Linked DNA regions of Alligator mississippiensis. The protein of the gene in region 2 interacts with the protein of the main gene of each other region in a pairwise test. Links are inferred from orthologs where the notes say so. Each region holds a gene or a part of one and is shown on either strand. Other genes may lie near its edges.

Region 1 (7,077 bases), on a different chromosome or scaffold from region 2:
CACAATGTTCATTAACATGGCTGTGCCCGAGAAGACACTCCAGGACAAGGCACAGTCGGTGCCACAAGACCTCAGCCCTCTAGATTGTGCTCTTTAGAAATAAATATGGCAACGGCCTGGTCCCTTCACTGCAGCCCTGGGAGCTTTGCTGGAATCAGAAAAGGCACTGGTTTTCTGAGACAATGCATCAAGCGTCTGAAATGGGTAAGAGCTCTTCCCCCCCTCCACACACACACCCATGCACACACTCTTTGTATTGTGCTTGTTATTCTTGGCCTGCGTCCCTGAGTCACAGGAGGGACGCAAAGAACCTGATCCTGCTGACGTGAAGGCACATGCTTAGTTCTGCATGCCTGAGGACATGCTAGGAAATCGGTGGCACAACTCCCCTTGCAAAGGTGGAACCACAGTATGCCTCTGGATTGGAATTTCCCGGTGTAGTTTGGATCTAGGATCTTGGCACAGTTTCGATCTAGGATCTTGGCGTAGCTTGGACCTAGGGTCTTGGCACAGTTTGGTCCTAGGGTCTTGGTGCAGTTTGGACCTAAGGTCCTGGCGCAGTTTGAATCTAGGGTCTTGGCGCAGTTTGGATCTAGGGTCTTGGTGCAGCTTGGACCTAAGGTCCTGGCGCAGTTTGAATCTAGGGTCTTGGCATAGCTTGGACCTAGGATCTTGGTGCAGTTTGGATCTAGGGTCTTGGTGTAGCTTGGACCTAAGGTCCTGGCACAGTTTGAATCTAGGGCCTTGGCCTGGTCCCGGCAGAGGGGCAGAGACCAAGTGTTAGCAAAAGCAGCAGCCAGCGCTCATCCTGTGCCCATCTCTCACCTGTGTAACACATCCCGAGCTACCTGGGGTGCCGTGGTTTCTTGCTGTGCTGTATTTCAAGGCCACTCACAACTTCCATTCAATGGTGGGGACAGAATTCGGCACTCAAAATACCCAACTGTACTTTTACCCTGTATCATCTACTGCACTCAACATCTATTTTTAATGCCAGGCCAGGTTTAGTTTCTCCTTCATTTCCCAGCGGTACCAGGGCTCTGCCTAGAACACGAATTCTCTGGAGGATTCAGGTAGATGCAGGAGCCGGTCCAACACCCTCCAAACTGTCGGAGAACCCCTCTTGCTTCCAGGGCAGTAAATAGGTGGTGGGGACTGGTCAGGAAGGTAGGTGGGGACTCAGCTTCGAAGTGAGCTGGAACCCCTTGATCTCCAGTCAAAGGCTCGGCCGTGAAGCTCTGCCTTCATCCAGGGAACGTTTCCATGCAAGCCACTGCCTTTGTCGACGAATCTTCAAGGCAAGCGTGGGTGTTGGCTTTCATTCCACTGTTTCCAACCTGAGTGAATGGCTGTGTCCTTGCCCTGGTACAGCTGCGTACCTTCCCCACGTGGGCTCCGGATGGGTTCTGTTACGTGAAACAAGCCTTGGTAATTTCTCTGTTACCACGGGGCGGTCATTCGTCTCTCTGAATCCGCCGTCAGCGATTACGCTGCATTCAGCTTGACCCTGACATTCCCGTTCTGTTCATCTCCGGCCAGCAACCTGAGCCAAAGGCCTCATGGAAGACGTGCGTCTCGGCCCCGTCTGCCCACGGATTCAGGGAGTCTCTCCTGCTCGTGCCAAGCACAACGCCCAGTTGTTATTGTGCGGGTGACACTGCAACACTCACAGAGGCATGTGGGGGGGTCAAAAGATGATGGTGTCTGGCTGTGGACTCTCCATCCTTGGAGGTTTTTAAGACCCAGCTAGACAAAGCCTTGACTGGGATGATGTAGTTGGGGCTGGTCCTGCTTGGAGCAGGGGGTTAGGCTAGATGTGACCTCCTGAGCTCCCTTCTCACCCTCATTTTTTATGATGCTGCATGTCCTGCAAGCTTTGCCGCCGCCTGGCCCTGCCTGTCTGTCTGTAGGTACTCAGGTTGCAAATATTTTTATTTTTGCAAAAATCTAGTTGGTTTTATCACATCTACCATGAGTTTTGATTCCTTCTGCCTGTCTGTCTGCATTTTTAACTGGGCATCCTTCGGTTGTTTCCCCACCTCCAGCCCTGCAAACAGTCAGCCTTTTGCAAACCCTAACCCAGCCCTCACTTCTGCCCATGCCTCTATTCCATATATCACAAGGATCTGGCCTCTCATTAGTATATGCCAATTGCTTTAATACCCAACATCAGGATCAGCAGTCTCATCTGCCACCGGATGTCTTGGAAAGAAATAAGGTGCATTTCCCAGTTGACTTCCTGGCCTGGATCGCAGCCTGGTAGGCATCCCGCAGCTTGGCGACATGGGGCGATGGCGCTAGGCGCTGCCCTCGAGCCCTCTCCAGTCACATACAAGCGCAGGGTGCTTCACCCTCAGGCCGGTCGGTCGTAGCTCTGGATGGTTGGGAAGTGCTACGGCTCCCTACTCCCAATCCCTCCTGGGTTCAGCTTGAAGGATTGAGGACTCCTGCCCCTCCGAGATACCAGGATTCTCCGCGCCAAGGGCACCGTCACTGGACTGTTTTTGGGCACCGATCTGAGACCACGCATTGAGCTTCACCAGGCGCCACGTGACCTTTTGCTGCCTTCCCCAGGCCCGCTGCTTCCCCGGCCTTCTCGGACACAGAACAGCGTCCTTGAGTCAAAGTCAGGGGAAGTGAAACCCCCGCCCAAACGGCACGTGCTGCTCCTGCGGCGGACGGCATGAGAAAGCCAGCCTGGCAACACTGCCTAATGGGGGAGGATGGCTCTGAGCTGCCGCGGGGACCCAGCTAGCAGCGGGTAGAGTTTAAGCCAAAGACTCCCTTTCCACCCAGCACCACGTGCTGCAGAAGCGACACCCCTTGTTGGACAAGACCAGTCTTTACTCCCTGCCCCAGTCGCCTCCTCTGGGTCCAGGCTACAGAAGGTGACAGCCCTGCCACCACTCTTCATCTCCTATTATGGCCCATGGGAAGCGGCCAGGATCCAAGCCCTCGGACCCACGTCCGATCCCTGCTCTAGCCTTTCACCCAGAGACAAGGTGCCCTCATAGCTCCCCCGATCTTGTCTTCCCCGCTCTAGGCCAAGCCGCACGGCAGGACCACATGGCACTGCTGCCAGCTAGCAGGGCCCCCACGCGGGCCAGATACCGGCGGGCCACACACGGGCAAGGAGGCCCTCGAGGGCAAGCTCCAGCGATGGGGGCAAGAGATGCCCGACGGTACCCAGTAAATAGGGGGCTGCTCTACCCCTTGCAGTGTGCACAGAGGAGGGGGCCGTGCGGTCCCCCTGCCTGCCCTGTGGCCCGTGTCATGTCAGGGCTGCTGACGGGCTTGTCTGGGGTGGTTTGGAGAGGGCTGATCCCTGACCCTCCCTACCCTCGAGGAATCTCTCTAGGATTGAGGAGTCTCTTTAGGATTGAGGAGACTCCCTTGGACGGAAGAGTCTCCTTGGCATGGAGGAATCTCGCTAGGACGGAGGAGTTTCTTTAGGATGGAGGAGTCTCCCTAGGATCCAGAAGTCTCTTTAGGACCTAGGAGTGTCTGTAGGATCAAGGAGTCTCCGTAGGATCCAGAAGTCTCTTTAGGACCTAGGAGTGTCTGTAGGATCAAGGAGTCTCCCTAGGATCCAGAAGTCTCTTTAGGATCTAGGAGACTCGGTAGGATTGAGGAATCTCCTTAGGACCTAGGAGTCTCTTTAGGATCGAGGAATCTCCCTAGGATCCAGGAGCGTCTTTAGGATCCAGGAGTCTTGTTAGGATCTACAAGACTTCTTAGGACTGAGGAGTCTCCCTAGGAGCCTCTTTAGGATCTGGGAATCTCCCTAGGATTGAGAAGTCTCTTTAGGATCAAGGTGTCTCTTTAGGATTGAGGAGTCTCCTTAGGATCGAGGAAACTCCTTAGGATCTAGGAGACTCCCCAGGACGGAGGAGTCTCCTTGGCATGGAGGAGTCTCTTTAGGATGGACGAGCCTCCCTAGGATCCAGGAGTGTCTTTAGGATCAAGGAGTCTCGTTAGGATCTAGGAGACTGCCTAGGACGGCGGCGCGGTGCGGGGCGGCCGTGGGGCAGGCGCATCCCCCGCGCCAGGCGCTGGCCCGGAGGAGGCCCCAGGGCCGAGCCGAGCCGAGCAGGGCCAGGGCCGGGCCCGGCAGGCGGTGCTGATCAGCCGCAGGACAGGAGCCCGCAGCCGCCATTAGACAATAGGAGCGGCCGGGAGCGGGAGCGGCAGCGGGAGCAGGGCCGGGGCCGGGGCCGAGCGCGGGGCCGCGGCTGCGCCGGGGGAAGCGGCCGGGTGCGCCGCTGCGGAGCGGAGCGGGGCGGGACAAAGGCGCGGCGGAGCCGGCTGCAGCTGCCTGGTCCCGGCCCACGGAGCCGCGCGGGGACCCGGATCGCGGCCGCAGCCTGACATGATGTTTCCACAAAGCCGCCACTCGGTACCGGGGGGCACGGATCGGGGGGGTGCACGGATTGCGGGGTGCATGCGGGTTGGAGGGGGGGTGCATGGGGCGGGGAGGGGGGTGCGTGGAGCAGGCCGGCCGGCCGGCCCCGCTGCAAAGCCTGGCCGGGCCCGGGATCGCGGCGGGGCCGGGCGCGGGTTGGGGGGGGGGGGGGGTTGCACCCCGGCTGCCCCGCTCCCCGCGCCCCCTCCCCGGCCGGGCAGGAGCGGTGTTGCCCTAGCCCCCCTCTTCCTCCTCCTCCTCGCCCCGGCTCTGCCTGGCGTTCCTCGCTGGGGGAAACGCTGTATTTCCGGGCTGGGAGGCCAGGGCCGGGCCTGGGGAACGGGTGCAGGCGGCGCCGGCACAGCGCGGCCCGGTGCCTCAGTTTCCCCACCCGTCGTGGGGGGTGCGGCGGTCTGGGGAGGCCGCCGCTGACCTTGACTGTGTCCCCTCGCTCCCCACCTGCAGCCGGGGGGGTCGATGCCAGCACGTCTCGCAGCCGGAGCCCCCTCGGGTGCTGCCGAAGGGGCCGTTCGGCAGCTGGGGGTGGGGGGGCACCCGCTTGCAAACCCCCACCTGCACCCGGGGCAGGCGAGGGCGCAGGGATCCAGGCTGCGAGGCTCTGCCCCCCCACCCAGCGCTTTCTCCTTGTCGTTCAAGGGCTCTTCTCACCTGCCACAGCAGCTGAAGTTCACGACGTCCGACTCCTGCGACCGGATCAAGGATGAGTTCCAGCTCCTGCAGGCGCAGTATCACAGGTACGGCAGCCGAGGCCGGCCTGGCGGGCACTGCGGTCGGGTGGTGTTCGCGACAGGGTCTGCCAGGCCTAGCCCCCCCCTACCCCGGGGAGCTGGCTGCATGTTGCCTCGGGGAGGGCCCCCCTCTCTTCTTGCCATGACTGGTGCTCTCAGATGCCGGAGGAAGGGGCTTGGGTTCGGGAGCCGGCGGCCTGTCTTTCGCTAGCTTTAGCGTCAGAGCAGGGCTCGGGGTGCCCCCCTCGGAGGTGTTGCCATGCAAAGAGTGTCAGGTAGAGAAACTGTTGGACAGACTCGGCAGGAATAAAAGCAGGATCCCTGCAATGTCTCCCCGCTTGGCTCTGCCTGCGGTCTCCGGGGTATTGATCCCATCGGTGGGGACGGTTCTGCACGCACAGGTAATCCCTGAGCAAGAGAGTGGGCAACATGCGCTGCCCCACCCCAGCTTGCATTTGAGGGCCTGAGAGCAGGGATTGCCAGGGCTCAAGAGATTCCCCAGCTGGAATGAGAAGCAATGAGCCCAAGTTAAAAGATATCCCAGGTGACCCTGTAGCTAACTGGAGATGAAAGCATTAAATCTCCCCTTCGCTGGGCCAGGACGGGGAGATTAGACCAGCCCCTTGTGAATCTCTGCTTAGTTTCACATGCCTTTCTCAGGGCTGCAGTGTTTTGGCTGCAGACGCTGGGAGGAAATGCTCCTCTCCAAACCCTTCCAGAGCCATCACTATCTGCGTCTTTTTTTGGGGTATTGAAATCTAAAACGCCGGGCTTCAATTTGCCAGGCGAGAGTACCCTTAATTATTAGGCCTGGCTTATTTCATGCCCTCCGATACGACCTCCCATAGCTGCCCATCCGTCGCCGACGTTCCCCGGGTCCTCCGTGTCTCGGCCTGCTTCCTGCTGGATGCCAGGAGCGCGGGATCCTGCCCGCAGGGCCCAGCGGCTGAGGTGTGTGGCGGCCCGAGGTCGCTCATCGGGAAGGCCGACTTTCCAGCGTGCCTCTGCTCTGAAGCCGTGCCAGCTGCGGGGCCCGGGAGCGCTAGCAACATATCCGCAGTCACCGTCTTTCAGCAGGAGACATTTGCTGGGTTTAATCCGCTGGAAGAGAAACGGGCTGTGTGCGAGCAAAGCTGGTTCTCGCTGGAAATCCAACCCCCCCCCAGCACATGATGGCTGAGCTCCCGACTGCCAAAAATCACCGGGTTTATTACATTTAAATAGAGAAAAGTAGTATCTTCTGTTCTCTTTTTTTTAAGGATGTTTGAGTTCCTGTTGCTTTCCCACAGAGCACCACAAAACCTGTTGGGAGAGGTGGCCTTGCAGCTGTGCCGTAGTCCTCATTACGTGTCTGACTTATTAATAGCACAAGCATTTCTCAAATGTTGCAGTTGGACCCGTGTCATGGCCCTGTGACCCCTGACTCTACTTGGGTCCCAGCTGTGGGATCAGACCCAAGCCTTTCTCATAGACAAGAGGTCAAACTCTTCCTCCTTCCTGCCTTTTCTGTTCCAGAAGATGGAAGATTGGCTCTTGGGTAGCTTTTTGGAAGACCTCGTGGCTGGGTGGTCTGGTGTCATTAGCATCGTCTTAATTCTTCTATCTAGGAGCATCGGTTATGGACCGCGGGGCTAGGTGCTGTACAAAAAAGCCCCAAATTGTTTAGTCTTGCAATAGTATCTAGGGGTCAAGCCGTCGTGCTAGGTGCTGTACGAGCCCGCAGGAAACGGCTGGCGACGAGGGGAGTTGGTAGCAGGCCTGGCTCTCGGTGCTCCCGTCTCTCTCTGCTCTTTCAGCTTGAAGCTGGAATGCGATAAGCTGGCCAGCGAGAAATCGGAGATGCAGCGTCACTACGTCATGGTAAGGCCCTGCCCCGGTGGCGGGGGGCAACGGCGGGCCCCGTGCGATGGGATGTGGGGCAGGCTG
Region 2 (7,706 bases):
AGAAGGTGTGCTCTCTATATAAAAGGAGCAGTATGCTTCCTTGGAGTCCCAGATTGGTTCAGGAGAAGGGCGACTTGAGACCCTGTGGGTAAAGATATGGAGGAGAAGGGGACTTGATGGTAGGCATTTAGTACAGACTGCCACACCAGGAAAAGGACCTGGACCTGGAATTTTCCAGTGAACTGATGGAAGCTAGGAGCAGGGCAGGGTAGGCAGGGGGGTGCAATAGATCCTGGGATGCCAAAAAGTGATCTTCACCATAAAAAGGTTGGAGACCACTGCTCTAGGAAGAGACTTGTGAATCCCCATAATAAGATTATGCTAAATGTGAATATTCAAGTACTTTGGTAAGACTGTGCCTTCCCTGGAGATGCACCAGTAGCACATGTGGACATGTGTACACGTGTATAGACATGCCCACGTGTATAGGCATGTGATGCGTATGCGGGTGCACGTGCACCCCCCGAGCGTGGCGGTGCACCCCCTACAAAAAGGCAACCGCTGACACTGCTGGTGGTGCCTGTGGGCGGTCGCTGCTTGACACCCCCCTCCATCCAGGCCTTCGATACGGTATCCCACCCCATACTGGTGAACAAGTTAAGAGGCTGTGACGTGGATGACTACACAGTCCGGTGGGTGGCGAATTGGCTAGAGGGTCGCACCCAGAGAGTCGTGGTGGATGGGTCGGTTTCGACCTGGAAGGGTGTGGGCAGTGGGGTCCCCCAGGGCTCGGTCCTTGGACCGATACTCTTTAATGTCTTCATCAGTGACTTGGACGAGGGAGTGAAATGTACACTGTCCAAGTTTGCAGATGACACAAAGCTATGGGGAGAAGTGGACACGCCGGAGGGCAGGGAACAGCTGCAGGCAGACCTGGATAGGTTGGACAAGTGGGCAGAAAACAACAGGATGCAGTTCAACAAGGAGAAATGCAAAGTGCTGCACCTAGGGAGGAAAAATGTCCAGCACACCTACAGCCTAGGGAATGACCTGCTGGGTGGCACAGAGGTGGAAAGGGATCTTGGAGTCCTAGTGGACTCCAAGATGAACATGAGTCAGCAGTGACACAAAGCCATCAGAAAAGCCAATGGCACTTTATCGTGCATCAGCAGATGCATGACGAATAGGTCCAGGGAGGTGATACTTCCCCTCTATAGGGCGCTGGTCAGACTGCAGTTGGAGTACTGCGTGCAATTCTGGGCGCCACACTTCAAGAAGGATGCGGATAACCTGGAGAAGGTCCAGAGAAGGGCAACTCGTATGGTCAAGGGCCTGCAGACCAAGCCCTACGAGGAGAGACTAGAGAAACTGGACCTTTTCAGCCTCCGCAAGAGAAGGTTGAGAGGCGTCCTTGTGGCTGCCTATAAGTTCATCATGGGGGCGCAGAAGGGAATTGGTGAGTATTTATTCACCAAGGCGCCCCCAGGGGTTACAAGAAACAATGGCCACAAGCTAGCAGAGAGCAGATTTAGACTGGACATTAGGAAGAACTTCTTCACAGTTTGAGTGGCCAAGGTCTGGAACGGGCTCCCAAGGGAGGTGGTGCTCTCCCCTACCCTGGGGGTCTTCAAGAGGAGGTTAGATGAGTATCTAGCTGGGGTCATCTAGACCCAGCACTCTTTCCTGCCTATGCAGGGGGTTGGACTTGATGATCTATTGAGGTCCCTTCTGACCCTAACATCTGTGAATCTATGAATCCACCAACACCACTGGCGGCCTCTGAGGGAGGTCCACGATCACCACTGGCCGCCACCAGCAGTGATCATGGACGTCTGCAGGTGGTCACTGACCGCTGCTCAATGCTCACCACCACCCCATCACTGCCACCAGCACCGCAGTTGCCTGTGGGATCTCCACGCTTACCACTGCTGCCAACGCTGCTGCTGCCTGCTGGAGCTTGCCGTGCCCCTCCAGCCACTGGGGCCATGTGGCATTCATGGGCATGCCTACAGGCATTGCTGCTGAGCCAGTTCCAAAATGACCCAATTGCTTTTCCTTAAACTGGTGAGCACCCACCCGGATGAAATGACAAACCAGAAAACCTCAATCCTCCAAGCTTTCCTGCAGAGTTGGGGGAGATCAATGTCACCACATGCAGCCCTGAGCTGACCCCCAAAGACACAGCTGCTCCCCAGAGGGCAGTTCCTCCAGCCTAAACACTAATAACACTGATATGCTTTTCCTGTGCTGTGAAATCTCACTCACAGCACAGGGGGTGCCAGACACATACATTCATGTGCAGGAAACCTAGTAGTGTGCGGGACATGAGAACGATACCAGTTCCTAGGACTCTTGTAAGCCCAGGGCACTGCACTGTGTATCTGGACATCACCAAAAAATGGGGGAGAAGGGAGGTACTGGTTATTTGACTGGCTAAGCAGAATCGTGCTGCACACAGATTTCCTGGCCTCGCCTGCAACGGAGTGGTCTTCAGACCCCGGAAACAAGCCACCTTTCAAGAACCGCAAACGGGTCTGAGAAGTTGCACTTCTCTCCCAACCCACCAGCCCAGGTCTGGGTCCAAGCAGCAACAGAGCCGAGGGGGGCCTGAGAGATCCTTAGGACTTCTTCAGGGTCCCCAGCCTGTGCTATACCAATACCGGGATTTTAAGAAAACCAAACGACAAATTAGGTAGGCGAATCTGGATGCCACGTTCCCCGAATAAGAATGTCACGGGCTAAAGGCAAGGAGAGGCTTCTCCTGTCCTGCCTTCCCCTGCCCCCGCGGAAGGGCGGCGCTTTCGAAGTGGCGGCGCGGCAGGGCCGCGGGGCCAGGCTGCCCGGGGCTGAGCCGGGCCAAGGGCCGCTCCTCGGCCCTGCCCCGCGCCCAGAAGGCGCCCCAGCCCCGGCCGCGCCCACGCCCCGCGGCAGGTACCTCCTCCTCGGGCGGGCTGGCGTCGGCGGCGCCGCCGTCCCTGTCGGCGGGCAGGCTGCTCATGGTCCGGCGCTGGCTGGAGCCGGGCTGCGGCGGGCGGTGCTGAAATGAGCCCGCGGGCCGGGCGGGGCGGGAAGGGGCGGCACGCACGGGGCCCCCCGTCGGGGCGGCGTCCACAGCCGCCCCGCGGCCCCCACCAGGCAGGGGCTGGGGCGGGGCGGGGCTTGGAGCCGGGGCGTCTCCGCCGCGCCGCCTGGGCGGGCAAGCCTGTCCGCCGAGGGGGCCGGACCCCCGCGCTGCTTGCGGCGGGCACGGCGCGGAGGGACGGATACCCGGGCCGCCCCGTCCCTTTCAGCCAACTTCATGTGGAAAAGCGACACCTGGCGCTGGTTGTTCAAAGACCCCCGCACCGGGAGGGGAAGCGGGCAGGGAGAGCCAAGAGGACAGAGATGCAACTGGACCTGGAGGCAGCGCGGAGGGCTGCAACAGGATCCGCAGCAGCGGAAGCGACAGCGACAGTGAATGAACTGAGAATATAAACCTCAAATCGGTGCCTGGACTAAAGGACTGCGATTGGGGTAGGTGAGGGTGGAGGGTGGGTGCGCAGGGGATTGGGTGCGTTTATTGTAACGGGAAGTGCGGGTGTCTTAATGTGGCTTTAAGATGTGTGATGGAAAGCTTATGATAGAGGATATGTATATATGTGTATGTATGTATGTATATGTATATATATTTTAATTTTTTAAAAGTCCCTTTTCTAAAGTATCCCGCCCCTCCCCCATGCCCTGCTGCCCCACTTTCAGCCCCAAGCCTCTCTCCTTTCTGTGTTGAAATGACGCTTTCCCTTGAGTGAAGCACTGGAGCCAAGGAGGTGTGACCCACCAGCTTGCAGCTGAAGGTGGGTGAAAGGAAGCTGGAAATAAAGTGTGGAAAGGTGCCAGGGGTGACTAACCTACCTGGGGAACAACCCACCTGGGAACATGGTGAGCTCCCTGAGATAGAAAACCTTTCAGGCCAGTTTGGGTGTCTCTTGCAGGCACATGCACTCTGGCCCAAACAGAAACCGTGGGCTCCAGCAGGATTCCTGGGGCATGCTTTGGCCTTTGTTACAAGAGACCAGACTAAGAGGATCTGCCACAGTATGCCCTGCTGGGCTTCAGATCTAGAAAATCAAAGCTGAACCAAGCCTGCTATACAAAAGGTAACATCCCAGAATTGCTACCCACAGCAGGCAGTTGCAAAAGGATTTGATGGGGGTGTCTGGAGCAACTGAGGGGGGAATTAATTTAAATCAAATGTTAGCTTTAATATAGTTTTCTCAAAGGAAAAAAAATATCAAGCAAGACATTGGTGTACAAGTACCTGGCTCCAAGCCAGCTGTCTTCAGAAAGCTGCATTCCAGGTGGAAACACCTGTGTTACTCTCTGGCGCTCTGCCACTGCAGCCAATTCTGTATAGAGGACGTAGCCTCTGTACAGGTCTACTTCCTGGGTTAAGACATTTTCTCTACCTGTATCCAGGTTCATTCCCACATCAGCTTCACAATACAACAGGTACCCTCATTGCATGCAGGCTCCACCTGCTGTCTACTCATCCCACTGAGCAGGGAGCAAACCCAGAGAAGAGGTGGCTGCACAGCCTGTGGGACAGAGGAGAGACCAGGATGTCCCCCACTGCTCCACTGGCAGTGTGAGAGAGGGAGTCCTTCCAATTCTCTGGAGCCATAAGAGATGCTTCACTGAAATGGGTGAGGTAGAACTGGGCTAGACTCTGGGAGATTAAGAGTGAGCCAGCAGAGACAACGTCACCCTGCAGAGCTGGCTGCCATCAGAATAGGAAGAGACAGACATGACAAATGGCTCCACTGCTAAACAGCAGGAGCTCGGATGCCAGATGGAGGGGGGCTGTACCTGCTCTGACACATTCCCTTTCATCCCTGGGGATCTGGCTTCTCTGGCACTTTTTGGTATCATTTGCACAGTGGCAAGGCCAACAGAGACCCACTGGATTTGACTGAGATGACTAAAGCACACTAGCAGCTGTTTGTGGCCAAGCACCCCCTGCAGGAGAGACAAAAAGGAGGCTTTCAAATCAAGAAACTTTTATCCTGTGAACTTGTCTTTCCCAGCTAAAGCACCTATTCAGTACTGGCCATTGGGAGCATCTACACATTCATCGATGCTCAGTAGTTACTGACCATTTAGTTTAGTACTTCCTTAATGAAGTACTAACTAAATGTGCAGTAACTACAGCTACTGTGCGGTAGTGCTGGCACATGGTTTTTTTGTGATGGTTACTGCATAGTAGCCTAATAACACTGTGCAGTATGTACCTCATTAGCATGGTTTTTAACCGGCATACTACTGCTCGGTGTTATTAGGCTACCTCACAGTAAGCGTCTTGTGTAAACACGCCCACTAATTAACCTCTGCATACCAGACTGGCAACAAACTACCCCTATGATCCCCGAAATTGTGGGTATGGATTTCCTCCCATGCCTTTGTGCTGTTCCCATTAACAAATAGATAAATAAAGGAACCAAGGAGATTGTTTCAAGGGCAAAACCTTTTTCTGAACCTAATTCAGTTCACATCAGGATACGCAGCAATGTGTGACCTGTCCTTCTGCTGCTAACCACCAGCCCTAGGAATGGAAAATCTCACCACCAGTGTTTCATTTCCACTGGACTCCTTAATGCCTAGCTCATTAACAGGCCAGTAATAACCAGCCCTCTAAAGCAAGTACAGTATTCTAGGTCTGCATACAACAAAGCAAGCTGTGCTTTAATGTCTTTTGCCATTTCTGAACACTAGCTAGTGATCTAGAAAATGCCCCCAGATTAAATTGCTTGAATGGTTACACTTTGACCTTGAAGCAACACAAGTCAATTTGCTTACATTACGGACAAACCTAAAACAATTTTTTTTGCCGTATATTTCCCTACTCTGGCGAGTGCTGAAAGTCAGGAACACCACAGATGTGTAGGACAAAGTTCAGCATTTGGGATTTTAAATCTGAGAAGTAAGAAGTACAGATAAAAGCAAAGATAAAAGCAGATATGCTTGACAGAAGAAGCAGAGTGTACTGAGATAGCTATCGGGACATGTTGGTTACAGAAAAGAACTCGTAATTAAACTGCAGGATAGGCACCTAGGGCTATGTCTTACCCTTCTGAAAATCATTGCGGAAACAAAAGTGCCAATAGCTCCATGTCTGGATAAGGGGTCAGAGTCACAGCATCTGCCCTTGCAGTTGGATCTTGGCCACTCGCTCTGCTGCTTACACATGAGCCAACACAAAACCCAGCACCTTCCCCATCAACTGTTGTTTCTGCAGCTTGGACAGAAGTCCAAAGCAGTAAAAACTAATTTCTTCCACTAAAGTAAGTGGGTCGGGCCCTATAGCAGGGGTGGGCAAAGTCTAGCCCATGGGCTGGATCTGGCCCATGGCAAACTCCATTTCCCAGCAGCCCCTGCCCACATTGCTGTGTCCGGTTTCCATGGAGACCCCAGCAGTGGCAGTGCTGTGACAGTGCATGGCCAGGGTTTCCATGAAGACTGGCTCCAGCAGCACTGGCAGAGAGTGCAGCTGGACGAGGAGCTGCTCCAGGGCTGGAATCTCACGGCACTGACGGAGTGGTCTGAAGTTGGGGCAGAGCCACTATCTGGCTCTGTGTGGTCCAGAGCTGTGGTGTGCAAGCAGCGGATCCTCTGGACCATGTTTTCACCACTGCCAGATCTCAGCCCCGGCCGTGGATCAGGTCCCTGCCTAATGTGCCCTGCCCTGTGCCCATACTATCACGGCACCGCCACTACTGTGGTCTCATGGAAACGGGCCACAGCAACATGAGTAGGGGTTGCTGGGAAATGGAGTTTGGTTCCTGGCTGGATCCACCATTCTGTCCATCCCTGCCCTATAGGGAGAGCCTTTAAAATGAATACATTAATCCAGGGCTGTCCAATTTCTGAGCAGCTGTGGGCTGCACCATCCCATTGCCACATTTCCATTGGCCACACTGCCCACCAGTTGGGCAGGAGGAAACTGAAACTGGAGAAGACCTAGCCTGGAGACCCTGACTACCTTCAGGGAGCTGGGGGAGAGGAAGGGAGAGGAGGAAGAGGAAGACGGTGATCACAACAGAAGCAGAAGCAGGTAATGAAGGGAGGCAGTGATCACCAAAGGAGAGGCACCCCAACCCATGGTGGGAAGTGTAGGGAGGCAAGGATGTAAGGGTAGCAGGAGCCCCAAGTTAAGCTCTTTCAGGTTCCATGCAGCCCATAGGCACAAATTGGACAGCCCTGCATTAGTCCATCCTTCCAGGGACCTCAAACTTCTCTGGAACAAGGAGGGCCAGGCTCAGGCAGGTGAACAACACCCAGGGGGCAAGCTCCAAATCCAGGCTTCAGGAAGATGCTAAGACCCAGGTCCACTCTCCCTTCAGCTTCAAAGCTTCCCTGGGTAAGTGGGAAGAAATCTTTCTTTGCCTTCACCTGCCTTCTGCCTAACTGCTCACAGTACCATCCTGTCTCAGAGGAGTACGCTGATGGAGGCCATGGAAGTATTTCAGAGACTGGTTACCTAGGTGGAATGGTCCAAGACTGTTCCTGATTTTTAAGTCAATACTGTTTTTCTGAGCGTAGAGGAGGGCCTTGTTATTTCATCGTTCTTCTTCCTCCCATTTTCAAACACCTTTTGCTTCCTTGATGGTCAGCTCTTCTCAGTGTAGCAGTTATGGAGGGTTGACATGGGCTTCTAAAGCAAAAGAACTTTGAAAAGATGCAAGTACTCATTACTCTGAGCCCCTATGCTGATGCCTGTGAGCAGGTGATAG
Region 3 (7,117 bases), on a different chromosome or scaffold from region 2:
AGCTTGGAGAGAGGGGGCTGGATAGTGCCAGGTGCATTGCTGGTCCAGAAGGAGCTGCCATCCCTTCTACCCTCTGGTCTGGAGTGGGGGGGTGTTAATGAACTAGTCACCCATCCTCCCCCCACGTTGGTGCTTTGCATTTGCTGCAGTTTCTTGCTGCAAAACCCCCTTCTTCAGACTTGTTCCGGTTGCCTTGAATGAGCTCATCTGACAGCTAAAAAACAATTTATACAGAGGGCTTGCAAATGTCTCCCTCCACCCCCGAATCAATCCTCTCGCTTGCTCTCACTCGCTCACTTTCTGTGTCCCCTCTGCTTTTCAATCCCTCCACTGCCTACATTGTGAACTGATGCCAAGAGCCAAGGCAACCAGGGCTGTTACATGAAAGAGTTGCTTTATATCGGTTTAAACTGCAGTGTCCTATTCAAATAGATCTGATTGTTCAAAGGCATAGATCCAAATATAAAAGGAGCAGAGAGCAGGGTACTATACTGCTCAGCTCCATACATCGCTTTTCTCTTATACAGCTAGTTCCCCTCAAAAGGGAGGAAAGAAAAAAAATCCCTGAAATTGCATTCAGAGGAAGATGTGTTTGGCTTGCTGCATGCAGCAGACTACAGGGCGAGCCAAAGACAACCGACACCAGATCAAGAGCAATATGCAGGCATAATAAAGCCATTGAGAAGACATAATCCCACTTTATTCCAGGTTAGTAACGTTCATATCTCTTTCAAATCAGTCTTTAAGGCTTCCCCCCTGACTTGCTGGGTTTAGGGTCTCAGCCTCTCAAAAGACTGGCATGCCTTTGCTAAATGGGCAAGGAGTGAGGAATTCAGCAGTTGCAATTCCTGACAGTTTGCAGCAGAGATTTTTCTTCCTGCCCTCTTTGGGAGGCAGAGGTTCTGGTTAACCGTCTGCTCTTAACCTCCACTACTCAGGTACTTTCTCCGCTTGCTAAATTATCTCAGAAAGGCAAATCCTGTGTCTAATCAAAGCACCCACTAGGAGCAGAGAATATTTGCTCTGCACTGCCACCCACCGTCAGAACCAGGGCTCCAACTGCCGGAGTCTGACTTGCAAAGACATGCAACACATTATCCCAAGAAAGACACTCAGCACCCTTCTTTTGTCCCCTTTGTCATGCGCTTTCCTCCCCCAGCCTCAGCGACAGGGCAGAGGTACTCCTTTATTTCTTTCCCTGTAAACGTCCATCATCCAAGTTGCAATGCTTCTGAATGTCTTCCGTCCATGGTCCTGAGAGCAATGCAGAATATTAATCCCGATGTGTTATTCCCTGAGTGTCTCACCCTCCTTTTGACAAGACGAGGGGAAAGGACTTGTCCAAGGTCACAGATAAATTGGTGCCAAAACCCGGGTCATCGTCCAGGAGGGGTGACACCAGGCTCTTTTACTCCACTGCCTACACAGCACTTGTTTTTCTATGCTGTCAGTGCAGCTCGGAAGGAGGAATCCTAGAATTCACTTGGGCTGGCGAGTATTACAGCATTTCTCGCGATTAAAAGTGCTACAATTAACAAGTCTGCATAGGGACATATGTGTTGGTAAGTGCTGAGATGCATTTTATTTATCCTTTGTTAACCAAACACTGGATAAAAACTGTTTTAATCTGGCCATAACTAGGAGGCAACAGCCACATATATGAATAATCTCTCTATTAACACAGAAGCTGCAGTCATTATTGTTTAGTGTGTGTGTGTGTGTGTGTATATATATATATATAGAGAGAGAGAGAGAGAGAGAGCATACGAGTCCACTTTTTATATGGATCTGAGGGGAGGTTCTGCACAAGTCGGGAGTTTAAAGAAAGATGCAATAGTTCTGGTAGTAAAAAAAAATAGAAGAGCACAATTGTTCACCTGAATGTGTACATTTTTTTTTTTAATTTAAATTTAGTTTCAAGGGCCAAATCAGTTCTGAATTCAATTGGCCAAAGCCCAATAGTCAAGTGCCAAATTTTGACTGAGCAGAGCGCCATCATTCAAGTTTGTATGGCTCTACCACTAGGCAAGTATCTGCCAGACCCATCAGTCTGGGGCTTCAGATATTCCCCAACCCCATGGCAGGTATCCTGCATTGAAGCCCCAAGGCCCTGGGGTTTGGACAATGCCCCCTGGTCTTGCTTGCTCCTAGCCAAAGGCCGACGAGAGAGCCACGAGGAAAGCGAGAACACAGTCCCCCATTTCCACAACGTTGTGCAGTTGAGTTTCCCACATTTGAGGAAGCTCGCAGGGGTGAGCCTGCCCGGAGTACAAGGGACAGGCCTCATTTGATAAATACACGTGATCGGCTGGCAGCATCATGCACCTTCCCATGCAAGCTTTAGCCTGGCTTGCCTGCTGATTCTGTACAGTCCGGCATTGTGGGCACAGCTGTCCGAGGAGTTGGGCGAGTGTTTTGGGGGCTTTTTTATTTTAAGAATGTAAATAGCGGTTCTAAAATTTGGTTTGCACTATTTCTTACCTTCCATTCAGATTGCCCTCCCCTTACCGAGTGGAAATGGGATAAGTTTTAACTATAGCCAGCACGCCTGCCCCCAAATGAGCCCATGATAATGTCATGATGCTTTGTCCTTTGCAGCAGAAATGGCACTCCAAAGCTTCTGCTCCAGAAATGCAGACTCGCACTATGTAGGATGAATAGTCATCTTCACTGGAGCACCAGAATTCAGGATTTTCTCTTCTGTTGTGCTCCAGGCACCAAAGGGTGACATCACTCAAACATCCGAGCTAGTAAAGGGCAAAAATGGCTAGTGCATGAAGGCAGCATATTACTAAAATAGAAAGTGATGTTCCAGTATCTTGTGTTTGTAAATGGCTAGTGCCTGGTGCTGCATAGGAAAAGTGTTAAAAAGAAACAAAGCAAATATTCATCAATGCTGACAAGCTCCAAAATGTCATAGCTCAGACCCATCCATGAGAACCAAAGGACACTCTATTGGTCACACCATAATAAACGCTTGAGTTCCCAGCAACATCTTCCCTGAATTTCGAGGCAAGTGGAAGGGGAAATAGATGCCCCACGTTCCCCCGCCATACCATTAGCCGCATCCACGGAGGGGAAGTTGTAGAAAGACGCACAGTTCTGCAAGGAGCCAGTCTATCTTGTGGAAATGCATCAACCTAAACAGCAGGAGCCATGTGCAGTAAACCCATTTTAACTTGTATACATCTCCAGCTCCGCTGGAAACGCCAAGAAAAAAAAAGAATCGGAGCTAGTTCTTTTGCACAGTCCAGGACAGTGGGAGAGATGCTCCACTCCTGGCTCCAAGCATGCAAAAGACTCAATGAAGACAAGGGAAAGGATGCCTTGGACCGGTTTGTAGCGATGGTAAGAGAAAATGGCAGGAACAGCTAGTGATATTATGCTAGCACTTGAGTCCTGGTCCCAGACAAATCAGAAGAATCCAAAAAAATCGCCAAAACAGACAAACAGCTGGATGGGGAAGAGGAGCAGTAAAGAGGGTTACATTGGCTGTCTAAGCTCAAATAGCAACCAAGCCAAGCGCAGAGCGTAGGTTGGACTTCATGCCAAAGGGCTCTCCACTGGACCCCACTGTTTGCTAGGACCTGGCGCAATCCAGGGCTTAGAGGTTAGTGAGGAGCACCAGGGAGACGCACTGCTCCCCCCACAGAGATCAAGGCACTACAGGACATCCATACCTCCTGCCTTTGTCTCTTCTAGCATCCCCTGCATGCCCACCCCACCTCTTTGCTTCAGCCTATACTGCCGAGGATAAGAAGGGGACCCAACATAGGCATCTGGGAAGAGACACAAATGTCAAGGGCCACAGGGATGAAGGAGCCCCCTGGGCACCAGGATACAATATGAAATTAATTCAACCTAAGGGAGGAATCAGGGCTGTTTTAAGATGCGGGCTGGCCGAATCTGCAAGACGCCTCGGCGGCTGCTGCTCTCAGTCTTCCTAAAAAGACCTGGCGTTCCCTTTTACGTGTGGTCGGGTGGGTGCTGCTGGGACCTCGACAGCTGCTTCTGGTTGTTATCCTTCATATCCGTTGCCGGGCCCGGGGGTTCTGCGGTTACCGAGCTACCGCGGCTTGTTGCTATTCATTCCGTTCCGTACCCGCAGGAAACCTTTCTTTGAAAAAAAATTGGCCTTCGGTCTCTGGGTGCAAAGAGACGAAGAGATGCCCACAGGTGAAAACGGGCCCCAGGGTCCGACAGTAAGCCCCAAAGGGCCGTTCCCTCTGGGGCCGTTCCCACGGCACATCTGGATCCACCACAACACTCCTCAGGACAGCTTGGACAAAGCTTGCCATGACATCTGGAAGAGGGTTCAAGGTCTCTCCGAAGATCTCCAGCCTACATCACCACTGTTCCTCCAGCCTACCTGCCCCCCAGAGCCGCCAGAGACCCTCAGGGCCTCCCAAGAGTGAGTGATTTCAAATTGCCACCCCCTCTCCAATTCAAATGGCTTCTCCCCCCTCTTATGCTTTGTGGCCCACAGCAGGTTGGGATCCGGCATAAAAATACATGAAATGTTCTTTCAACATGGTTGAGAAGAGAAATTGGGGGGTAGGGGGTGAGGTGTGGGTGGGAGGGGAAGAGGATTGAGAAGGGGTTTATTTTCACAGCCCAAATCACAGAAGCTGAAGAGGATCCTTTTTCTCTATGCAAAATGACGTCCTGTGATGTCTAGCCACATCTAATTCTGAAGCACAGTAAGCAGCTGCTGCATTCAGTTCCCCACAGCAGCTTTAAAAAAAAAAAAATCAAAATATTTACAGGAAGAAGCAAAAGAAGCATTCAAAAGAGCAGAACCGAAAATTAAAGTGTTATAAGGAAACTACTGTAAACAGCTGATCTTTACAAAGAAAAGCTGGATTTGGCAGAAAAAAAATTCTCTGCCAAGTCTCGCTCCAGAGGGTAAGTTGTGGGGAGGAAAGAAGGTACACTCTTTAAATTAAAAAGGACAATATTTATAGTACATTCCTGCAGCAGGAAAAAAAAAAATTGTCAAATTAACAAACCCAGCAATTAATTAGCTCATGTTGGCAACTTCCCAGGTCTTAAACAAAAACACAACATACCAGTAACAGCTGTACAGACCTGGTCCATCTTAATCTGATGCAGTAAATAATTGTTAATACCAGAATTCATGATGCCTCCCAAAGAGGCAAGTTGGTACCACCATCCCCATTTTACAGATAGGGAAACTGAGGAATAAAAGGAAAGTATTTGGATCAATGGCACACAGGGAAGTAGTGGTATATCCAGGACTCGAAGCCAAGAGTCCCAACTTCCGCATCGTTTCCTTCTCTATCCAAAATGCAGTATGGACTTTGTAGACGGTATCGCACATTGAGTCACCGTTCTCCTTTAGCATCTGCTGAAGTCAATTGAGTCACACCAGCACATAGATGACATGACAGAACTGGGCCCAGACATCTTTATGGACATGTGAAACATGTACATCTCAATAATGCACTCCTGGAAGATGCTCCATTAGTATGGGCAGTACAAGACCCTACATGCAATTATGAAATATTCATCTGAATTTTAATGAAAAACCCCATTTTTAAGAAATGAAATGATTTTTAGAAGAAACATACTTTTGAGTTTTATAATTGATGTAGCAGGTACAGCAAGTGCAGCCAGCTTTCGTAATTCCTTGCCCACGCGCTACGCAGTTGCACCGAATTTGTCACACTTAGGGAGGAGACAGGAGGATACCGCAATACTCTTCCTTTTGCATTTGCAATCTCGGGCTGTCCAGAGGGTACAGCGTATGATGGGAGATGCCTAGGAACAGGGGTGACCCATCACATTCATTTTCTATCCATTAAAAAAAAAAAGAAAGAAAGAAAAGAAAAGTGGGGTCCAGTAAATGGGGTACCAGCCTTGGTCCCATAGGATTTGTATTCTACTCATACTTCTATCACTGACTTGTTGGGCAACGTTCAGCAAGTCATTTCTGTTCTTGTCTATCTGACTGTAAGCTCTTTGGGGCAGGGCTGGTCTTGTTCTATGTCTGTACAGCTCCTAGCATACAGAAGCTTCATTACAAACAGCCAACTGGTCTTTCAAGTACCTAATTTACTCGAATATGATCCCCCCAATAATAATTTTCCAGGTATAGAAACTAATTATTGAAGATGCGACTTGAATTTGTCCACCTCCTACTGCAAGAGCAGGGAAAATAAGTGTGTGTGTGTGTGTGTCTATAAAGTGCCCCCTTGCCCTCTGCCCCCCAAATTCTTCCCCCTGAAACCCCTTACCATCAGACACTGCTCTCTCTAAACACATGCAAAAGTGAGAGGCAAATCTGAAAATGCTAACCTTGATATCAATTTGCATATAGGCAGATGACTATAGATTCTCATACCCATAGACTTAGTTCATCCAGAATATATGCATTTGGCCTGTCTGGAAACTGCTGCAAGTTTTAGCACAGATACTCCATAAACACATTTAAGCAGCACTTTTGTACCTATTTAGATATTTTTATAAATTTCTAACTCCAGATCAAATTAGCCAAATCAGTTTCAAATCATAAATCGATGGAGCAGAGCTCAATTGTTCCAAAAACCATACTGACTGAGCAGGCAGAACTCAATTGTACTAAACACCATGTATGATGCTACAGCCGGTGAGCGTCCTCCATCCCAGGCTCTCACCCTAGGACTTCAGATACTTCCAGATCCACTGGTAGGCATCCTATGTATGGGCCCAAGCCCAGCGACTTGGGGGTTCAGATGCCCCCACTTGATCTTAGCTCACAAGAGACTAGAAGCCTCTTTAGATATACTACAAATTATGCATGATATCAGCCAAAAGGCTCATGATTTGCCACATAGTTCATTGGACTGGGCCCTAGTAGAGTCAACAGTGTTTCAAGCCAAGGTGACCACACAGCTTGGCACGGCTTAGTACGTGTGTGTACTCCAAGATACACCCGCATAAAGGATCCTCCAAAGCCTATATGCAGATGAGGTGCAGGGGAACCTAATCCAGCTCCACCTCCTGGAGGGTGGGGGCACACTAATCATATGCAACAGGCTGGGGGGCGGGGTGGGGGGGGTGACAGAGGGATTCTGGGTGAAGTGTTCGGGGTCCTATTTGGTGAGGTCTGCCAGAC
Region 4 (7,110 bases), on a different chromosome or scaffold from region 2:
CTGCCAGGCTTTTCCCCACTTGCCACTCAAGTGGCAGGAGCCAGCCTGGCAGGGGCTGCTGCTGCAGGAGCTGGAGGGAGGATTAAACCCCTCTCCTCCCCCACTTCACCTCAGGGGGCTGGCCTGGGCTGGCATCTGGCCATGACCCTGGCCTCACTGCTCCAGCAGTAAGCAGGAAAAAGCCTGGCAGGGGCTGCCGCGCTCCTGCGAGGCAGACCCTCACTGGGGTCCACGCTGGTCTTGGCCTCAGGGTGCCCCCACCCATGCCACTAGAAGAGCAAGCAGAGAAGAGCCTGGCAGGGGCTGCTTCCCCGCTCCAGGCACACCCTGGCTGAGGACTGTACAGGTCAGAGTGGGGATTTAAACCCCTCTCCAATCATACTCAGTGGCCTGCCAAGGCCTGGCCATGACCCCCCCTCCACTAGCTTGAGCAGGGAGGGGGAAAAAGCCTGGAGGGCTTCTCTCCCAGCTTCCCTCCACCCTTTCTACCACTGCCAAAGGGAAGGGAGGGCTTGCTCTAGCCCCTAGCCTTAGCCACTGCATGCAGGTGGCTGCATTTCTGGAATCAAATGTGAATGTCTATTCACCTGCTTCTCGGTTCAGCCTATGCAGTTTAAACTAACTTGCAAAGACTGAATCGATTCAGGCTCAGGCTTTTTGAATGTCTGTACTTAGCCAAGAAGACAACTACAGCACCTCATCACACCACCTCAGACATTGAGCAATTCATTTGGGACTTTGCTCTTCCCATTAATAACAATAAATCTGACTCAGGTGGGAAGTGGAAGACAAATTCCTATGAAATTCCTATGAAGCTAGATGTGTTCATTCTGTCCTCTGTAATTGATTTCAGAACAGAATCTTTCACTAGCAGTGATACTTCTGGGGAAATGGTAATCTGTGCTATTATGTAGGCTAAATATGTGCTATGTTTAACATAAAACAAGCAGGCATGGTTATTTGAGTAAATGTGATATCTTTTATTAGACCAACTGAATAGATGGAAAAAATATTCTTACAAGCTTTCAGGCACAGGCGCCTGAAAGATATTACATTTACCCAAATAACCTTGTCTGCCTGTGTCCTTAGACCAGCACAGCCAGAACCAACACCCCTCAGATAAAAATGTGTGCTTAAATACCTGCCAAATCAGTTATGTACAATGGGCTAAGCATGGATTGGGATCCAGGAAAGTCTCATAACTTAATCTCGGTTCAGACACTGATTTGTTGTACGGCCTTATGCAAACTGATCGACATATCCCAAGCTCCCCAGCTATAAAATGGGAATAATACTTATACTCAAGGACCATGCACAGATTAATTAGTGCCTGGGAAAAAAAACCTTGCAGATTTAAAGGATTGTATAACTGCTAAATATTGTTATAGATATTACCATATTTTTTCAACTATAAGACGTACTATTATTTAAGACACACTTCAACTGTCAGACTCAATTTAAAGAAAAAAATAAAACTTCTATTAAGTCACTTCTATAATGCATATTAGAGCTCTCTACTTTTTCTTTTTCACTCAAACTTAAGACAGGTATTTTTAGAGGAAATATTTCCTGTTAAAGTGTCTTATAGTCAAAGGAATATATTTTATCTTAGGGTGGCACTTAAGAGACTCCAATCAAGATCAAGGTTTCATTGTGCTAGACAATCCACACATACAAGACAGATGAAGAATGTCAATCCCTCTGCCTCCACCCCATCTTCTTCATTTTGTAGATGGGGAACTGCCTAACAAAAAGATTGCTATGATTACTCCAAGTCCAAGTATGAACTGACATTCCCATGTGATTACAATAAGTGTAAATGTTTATAACTAAAAGTTGAAAGCAGAGAGACAGAAAAGTTGAAAGGCTATTTCTCTCAAATCCTCAAAGAACAATTGCTATGTTATAAAATCCAGCCCTGCAAGATGATGTGTAGGATTGGATGCTAGATTCAGGTCCTCTTCTAAGGTTATAGAAACATGTAGTCTAATATTTTGAACTAAATGAGAAAGATTTTCAAAAGAAGCATCACCCAGGATGGAATTTCAAAAGAAGCATCACCCAGCACCTCACCCAGGAGGACTAGATTCAGTACAGTGCTATTTTGCCAGTATTTTTATCCAAAGCAGATTAAGGATTAAACATGGTTTAAGTAAAATTATCATAATGGGCAAAATATGGAAAACTTTTTCAATTAATTTGTATTTTTGCTGGAAAAATTTGGCTATAAAGGGTTCAACCAGCTGTGTTCAGCTGTTCTCAAAATTAAGTCCCTGTTTTATTGCTGCTTATAGAGGGGATGAGGAGAAATATGGCTAAGAGTAAAGACCTACCAGAAGCACTGAATGAAACTGGAGCAAATACAAATCGCTAAATTAAATTCAAATCCCTTTCTCCTCCCTGGAGTACTTGTACAGTAATAAAACATGCTCTTTTGCGAGATGGCAGAAATTTGTGAGAAAAATCTGCTTGACTCATCCCTACATCTAGTTATCTCCCTTGCTACAAAGCCAACGCATGAGAATAGATGAGCAAAGGCAAGGATCTGGAAAGGAGGTCAACTGATAAAACAGGAGCTGCTGATATCAACAACAGAAATTAATAGGCACCATGAATTTCCTTCCATTGCCTGCCTGTCCAATTTCTAGACAGGGCATTTTGTTATAACTTGGAGCTAGCACTTAATTAGAGAACAATCCTTATTAGACAATGCTTTGTTGAACAGAAGTGCGAAGATGTTTGTTTCAGTGCTAGATGCTGTTATTTTAAGGTGTGATACTGAAGTGCACTGAGTGCCCCGGGGGCAGACAAGAGTTTTGAGCTTCTGAGATGAAGGGTCAGCAACTTGCAGAGCTGTAAATCCTGCTGAGCTGGAAAACTTCAAAAAATCCCCCATGCCTATTGGGCCCAGTTCTCCTCCTACTGAAGTTGCTAATTTAATGGGAGCAGGAGCAGGCTCCCTGCTGTCTGTGGCATTTATAAGTCCAAGTATTACTAGAAAAAAAGAACTGTAGATGAAATAGTTTCATTGAAGTAGCTGTGTCTGGGATACATTTATGGGGACTTACAAGGGCAGGACTTTTTTCCTCCGGATCACTTCTAGAAACAGCTAGCGCACAGTTTGCTACCCCAGATCCCAAACTCCCTGGACCAGATTCTCTACTCTGACCACTCTCCCCAAGGTACCTCAGTCTTAACTGGAGCCTCTCCATGCTACTGAAGAACAGCAAATAAATAAATAATGGAGAGCATTTGGATAGAGTTGGGTCTAAAATAAGACTATCCCTTCAAATGAGTATCATTGCAAAGTTGAAAACAAGCCGCCTAGATTTAGTTGGAAGTGAATTAACCACCCCCTGCCAATGATTACTTTACTTCCCTGGAATTTCTATCTACATAGTAATGACAGAATGAAGTACAGTACATTATTTTGCATTCATTGAAGGCTAAAATGCCTTTACCAATGATTAATAACTTGACTCCTTCAAAAATAATATCTGCCACACTGTGATAAGTCTCAATAATTAGTTTAATAATTGGTTAGCATTTAACCTACTGTAAATGTAATAGCCAAGCTAAATTAAATATGCATTTAAGAGCTTTAAAAATATGCCTTTTGGTATATACCAACTAGTATGTTTATATACCCAGGCCTTGTTCTATTTTGAAACTATCAAATAGTGTGTTAAAGGCTGTGAAAACAGGCCTTTACTGCCCTGCTTCCTAACAAGGCTGTCACAATGTTATCTTTGCTATGAATTAAACATTTAGAAAGGAGTAAGTACGCTTTTTTGTGAGCCTGTGTGGAACACAACCTGTGGAACAGACTGACATGAATGACATGAGGAGCTGGAGGCAAAGAGCTTTGTAAGTTTTAATAAAAGGCACATGAACAAAAATACCATGTGCCCTTACACCGTTTGTATGTAAATGATACAATACTACAAAACAAAGTAGATCATCAAATCTGATCAGACAGTTGCTTCCCACCTCTTAAGAAAGTATCACATGTGCACATGCCATTGGAGGGTCACCAGCCTCCAGTATCGGTCAGTGCTGGATGCAGATAACTAGTTATATAGACCGTTGGTCTGTTCCAGTATAATAAATCCAATGCTTTTACAATGCTGAGTTAAATACATTTTCAGAAATAGAAAGCAACACGAAGCCAGATTTTTTTTCTTGGTTTTGTGTTGCTTAGTTGAGAGTTCCTAAGAATAAAGCTTTAAAAGTGGTTCCACCCTTTTCTCAGAAACAAGCTCAGCTGTATAGAGAAAGACTCAGAGCCAGGATCTTATCTCACTTCTGCAGTGCACGTCCAGAATACCTCCACTGAGGTCAGATCCTCCAACCCAGCGTCTGCCTCCTAACCAGGACCAATAAGCAGGAGCTTCTTTCTGAAACTTTCTGGAGAGGATCCATCAGGCAGTGATGGAGTTAACAGGGCTGTGCAAGTAAGTTGATCTGTAAGCCAGTAACATAGATAGATAGTTGTTAAAGTTTTCAATAGGGCTGCATTTTGGGGAGGGAGTGAGCTGTCATCCCTTCAGCTGTGCAGAATTGATCTTGCCTACGAAGGGTCACAAATACAAGGTTAGTGGTACTCAAGAATTAACGATCTCTAGATTTTGCTTAACAAATGAAGGCTCAGTTAAACTGATTATAACCTTCTCTCATTAGTGGGGAGAGGGTCCAAAGTATATCGACCAGGATTACTAGGCAAAAGTACAGTACAAAATCTCTGTGTCCATGTGGAACAAATAAGCCTCAGTGGGTTTTCAGAAGGAAGGTTTCAGGGTTATCAACATGTATTTCAACATCAGAAGAAAAAGGATTATTGGTAAATAGGATCTTGTTGGGATTATACACACACACATACACACAGAGCCTCTGAATGTGTTAAGGAACTATACATGCTTCCACAAGCCATGACCTGAATCCAAAATTCATACATGTTTCAGTTCAAATGAACAGGCAGCTGAAAAAGGAGCTAAACAGGTTGAGTGACTTCACATTGTGGGAGGAATAATGATTACTTTTGGGGCTGTTTTGAATAAGCGAGGCAGGTGAGGATGCGACTGCAGAGCTCCTTAACTAGGTATAAGAATAATACTTGTATTTGAATGGCTTTATAGAATTGCTGCTAAAAACTAGTAGAAACCAAGCTTAATTAGGAAGGATCTTAAAAATGAAACAGCATGTGGGTGTTGTATGATGTGGGTGTATATGCGTGTGAGTGTGTGTGTGTTTAGCTAAACAGTAATAGAGACAGTGTGTGTGAATAAGGTTCAATGATGTTTACCTCATCTCCTAACCAGGTGGAAATCTTTTATTATTGTATTCATAACTAACATGGTAAGCAGGAGACTGCGTAGCATTAAAGTGTTAAAGTGTTCAGATGTTACACGCAAGAAGGAACATTCCTGTCCTGTTTCAGTCAGTCAATGATGCTTTGATTTACAGTCATGAATTAATATGGTTAACTCATTGTAACCTACAGTTATTTATCTGCCCTAGCGAACAGAGCCCGGATCTGTTCTGCAACCGATTTGAGCCTGAATACTGTTCTTCTCGCTAGTACTGAATCATAAATGACTCACTTCAGACTTGGATGCGAGAGCAAAGTATACATTTGCAAATTGGCTCGTGAGGCATTGCTTTGCAATGTAGGTGGGATACATTACATACTGTAGCAGTGAAGTTCTGCTCTTTTTTTTTCCCCCTCCCTTTTGCTTCATGCAGGATGGTTTTCTGATCCTAGGATTACAGCTTCGTTTTTGAGGGTATGAAAAGGAGCCACCTATGCTCAAGTGAATGTATCATGTGGACTTTTCTGGCCTGGCTTACAACTCAAGTTCTCCACTGAAGATGGATGATTTAGCTTTACTTGACCTGTTGGAGTGTCCTGTGTGCTTTGAAAAGCTAGATGTCACAGCCAAGGTGCTACCATGCCAGCACACCTTCTGCAAGCCTTGTCTGCAGAGAATACTGAAATCCCAGAAGGAGCTGAGATGCCCAGAATGCAGAACTCTCGTCTCCTGCAGTATTGAAGAGTTACCGTCCAACTTGCTCCTAATTCGCTTACTGGATGGTGTCAGATGTGGACAAAATGTTATGAGATTTGGTTCACTCCAAAGATCTGGGGTCCTGTCCTCTCCTGCCTCCATCAGGAGAGTCCCAAGAGGTTTACAACTTAATCAATACAGGCTGGCACCAACTCCCAGGATCCATATGGAAGGGGTAAGCAGGGTTCATGTTTCTTAGTATCTTCATAGGCAAAGAGAGTTGCAACATTATGTGCCAAGAGCTGTGAAACCCTTCATGTTAGTAACACTGAAAAAAATACTTGAGAGAGAGTGAGATTATTTTCACTTGATAAAGCTGTCTGCTTTCTCCCTGTGATATTTGGATATTTTGAGTTGATCTCAGCAGTAACTACATTCAATCTTAAGCTTATCCAAAAATAGCTTGCCTTTCTGAGTGCAAAGATTTCAAGAAGGCAATTTCAGGAATTTTCTGGTGCTACCTGACAGCAGTCAGGCCAGAAATATTGTGTGCTCCAACTTTCAGGTGATATTTTGCTGTGTCTATCACCTGTCCAAAGTCAGGGTTGCATTAAGTCAAGAATGCAGAATCACAGAAGTTAGACCTTCAAAAGCCTTCATATTTCATGTCTCTCCTGCCTGAGTTCTAGTGATAGAAAATGCTATACAAGAGCAAGGCAGTTAAATAAGGTTATTTTTTCCTAGGACAGTTTTTCCCTTAATGCTTTGTCCAGTCTGATTTTAAAGTCCCACATTGTTTCTGCCATTTCCCATAACAGTACAATTGTTTTTACTATATAATGAACATTAGGTATGATATAATATATAGTTAATATCCGTGCTAAACAAATGATACAATATAGTCTTATTATATGACAGTTATGCATAATATAATTAAATACAAGTTGTATTTTACCTTCTAAAGAAGGGTGGGTTCATTTTACCTTCTAAAGAAGGGTGGGTTCATCTGCATTTGCAGTAAAGATTGATATGAAGTTTAATTTTGCCTGCACTAGACCTCCTGTTCCTGATGTGCCATTTCTTCCATCCTGAGGCACTTGTTGTA

What was found.
Region 1: the proteins of RBPMS (region 2) and TLE5 interact in binary tests that used the Homo sapiens proteins (3 or more experiments, as listed by UniProt). The two-hybrid records come from large-scale screens. The link is inferred for Alligator mississippiensis from reciprocal best matches to the Homo sapiens genes RBPMS and TLE5.
Region 3: the proteins of RBPMS (region 2) and C6H1orf94 interact in binary tests that used the Homo sapiens proteins (3 or more experiments, as listed by UniProt). The two-hybrid records come from large-scale screens. The link is inferred for Alligator mississippiensis from reciprocal best matches to the Homo sapiens genes RBPMS and C1orf94.
Region 4: the proteins of RBPMS (region 2) and SH3RF2 interact in a two-hybrid assay, tested with the Homo sapiens proteins (2 studies listed by BioGRID and IntAct). The two-hybrid records come from large-scale screens. The link is inferred for Alligator mississippiensis from reciprocal best matches to the Homo sapiens genes RBPMS and SH3RF2.

The regions. Positions count from the first base shown.
Region 1 is NC_081839.1:3,804,983-3,812,059, reverse strand, and holds the start of TLE5 (TLE family member 5), read left to right. Parts: upstream 1-4,077; 5' UTR 4,078-4,369; coding exon 4,370-4,396; intron 4,397-5,059; coding exon 5,060-5,157; intron 5,158-6,947; coding exon 6,948-7,011; intron 7,012-7,077. UniProt on the Homo sapiens protein: Transcriptional corepressor. Acts as a dominant repressor towards other family members. Inhibits NF-kappa-B-regulated gene expression. May be required for the initiation and maintenance of the differentiated state.
Region 2 is NC_081825.1:169,286,536-169,294,241, forward strand, and holds the start of RBPMS (RNA-binding protein with multiple splicing), read right to left. Parts: upstream 3,023-7,706; 5' UTR 2,939-3,022; coding exon 2,876-2,938; intron 1-2,875.
Region 3 is NC_081829.1:7,529,554-7,536,670, forward strand, and holds the start of C6H1orf94 (uncharacterized protein C1orf94 homolog), read left to right. Parts: upstream 1-4,104; 5' UTR 4,105-4,166; coding exon 4,167-4,411; intron 4,412-7,117.
Region 4 is NC_081832.1:64,689,570-64,696,679, reverse strand, and holds the start of SH3RF2 (E3 ubiquitin-protein ligase SH3RF2), read left to right. Parts: upstream 1-4,100; 5' UTR 4,101-4,454; exon of another isoform or gene 4,455-4,593; intron 4,594-5,742; 5' UTR 5,743-5,814; coding exon 5,815-6,240; intron 6,241-7,110. UniProt on the Homo sapiens protein: Has E3 ubiquitin-protein ligase activity. Acts as an anti-apoptotic regulator of the JNK pathway by ubiquitinating and promoting the degradation of SH3RF1, a scaffold protein that is required for pro-apoptotic JNK activation.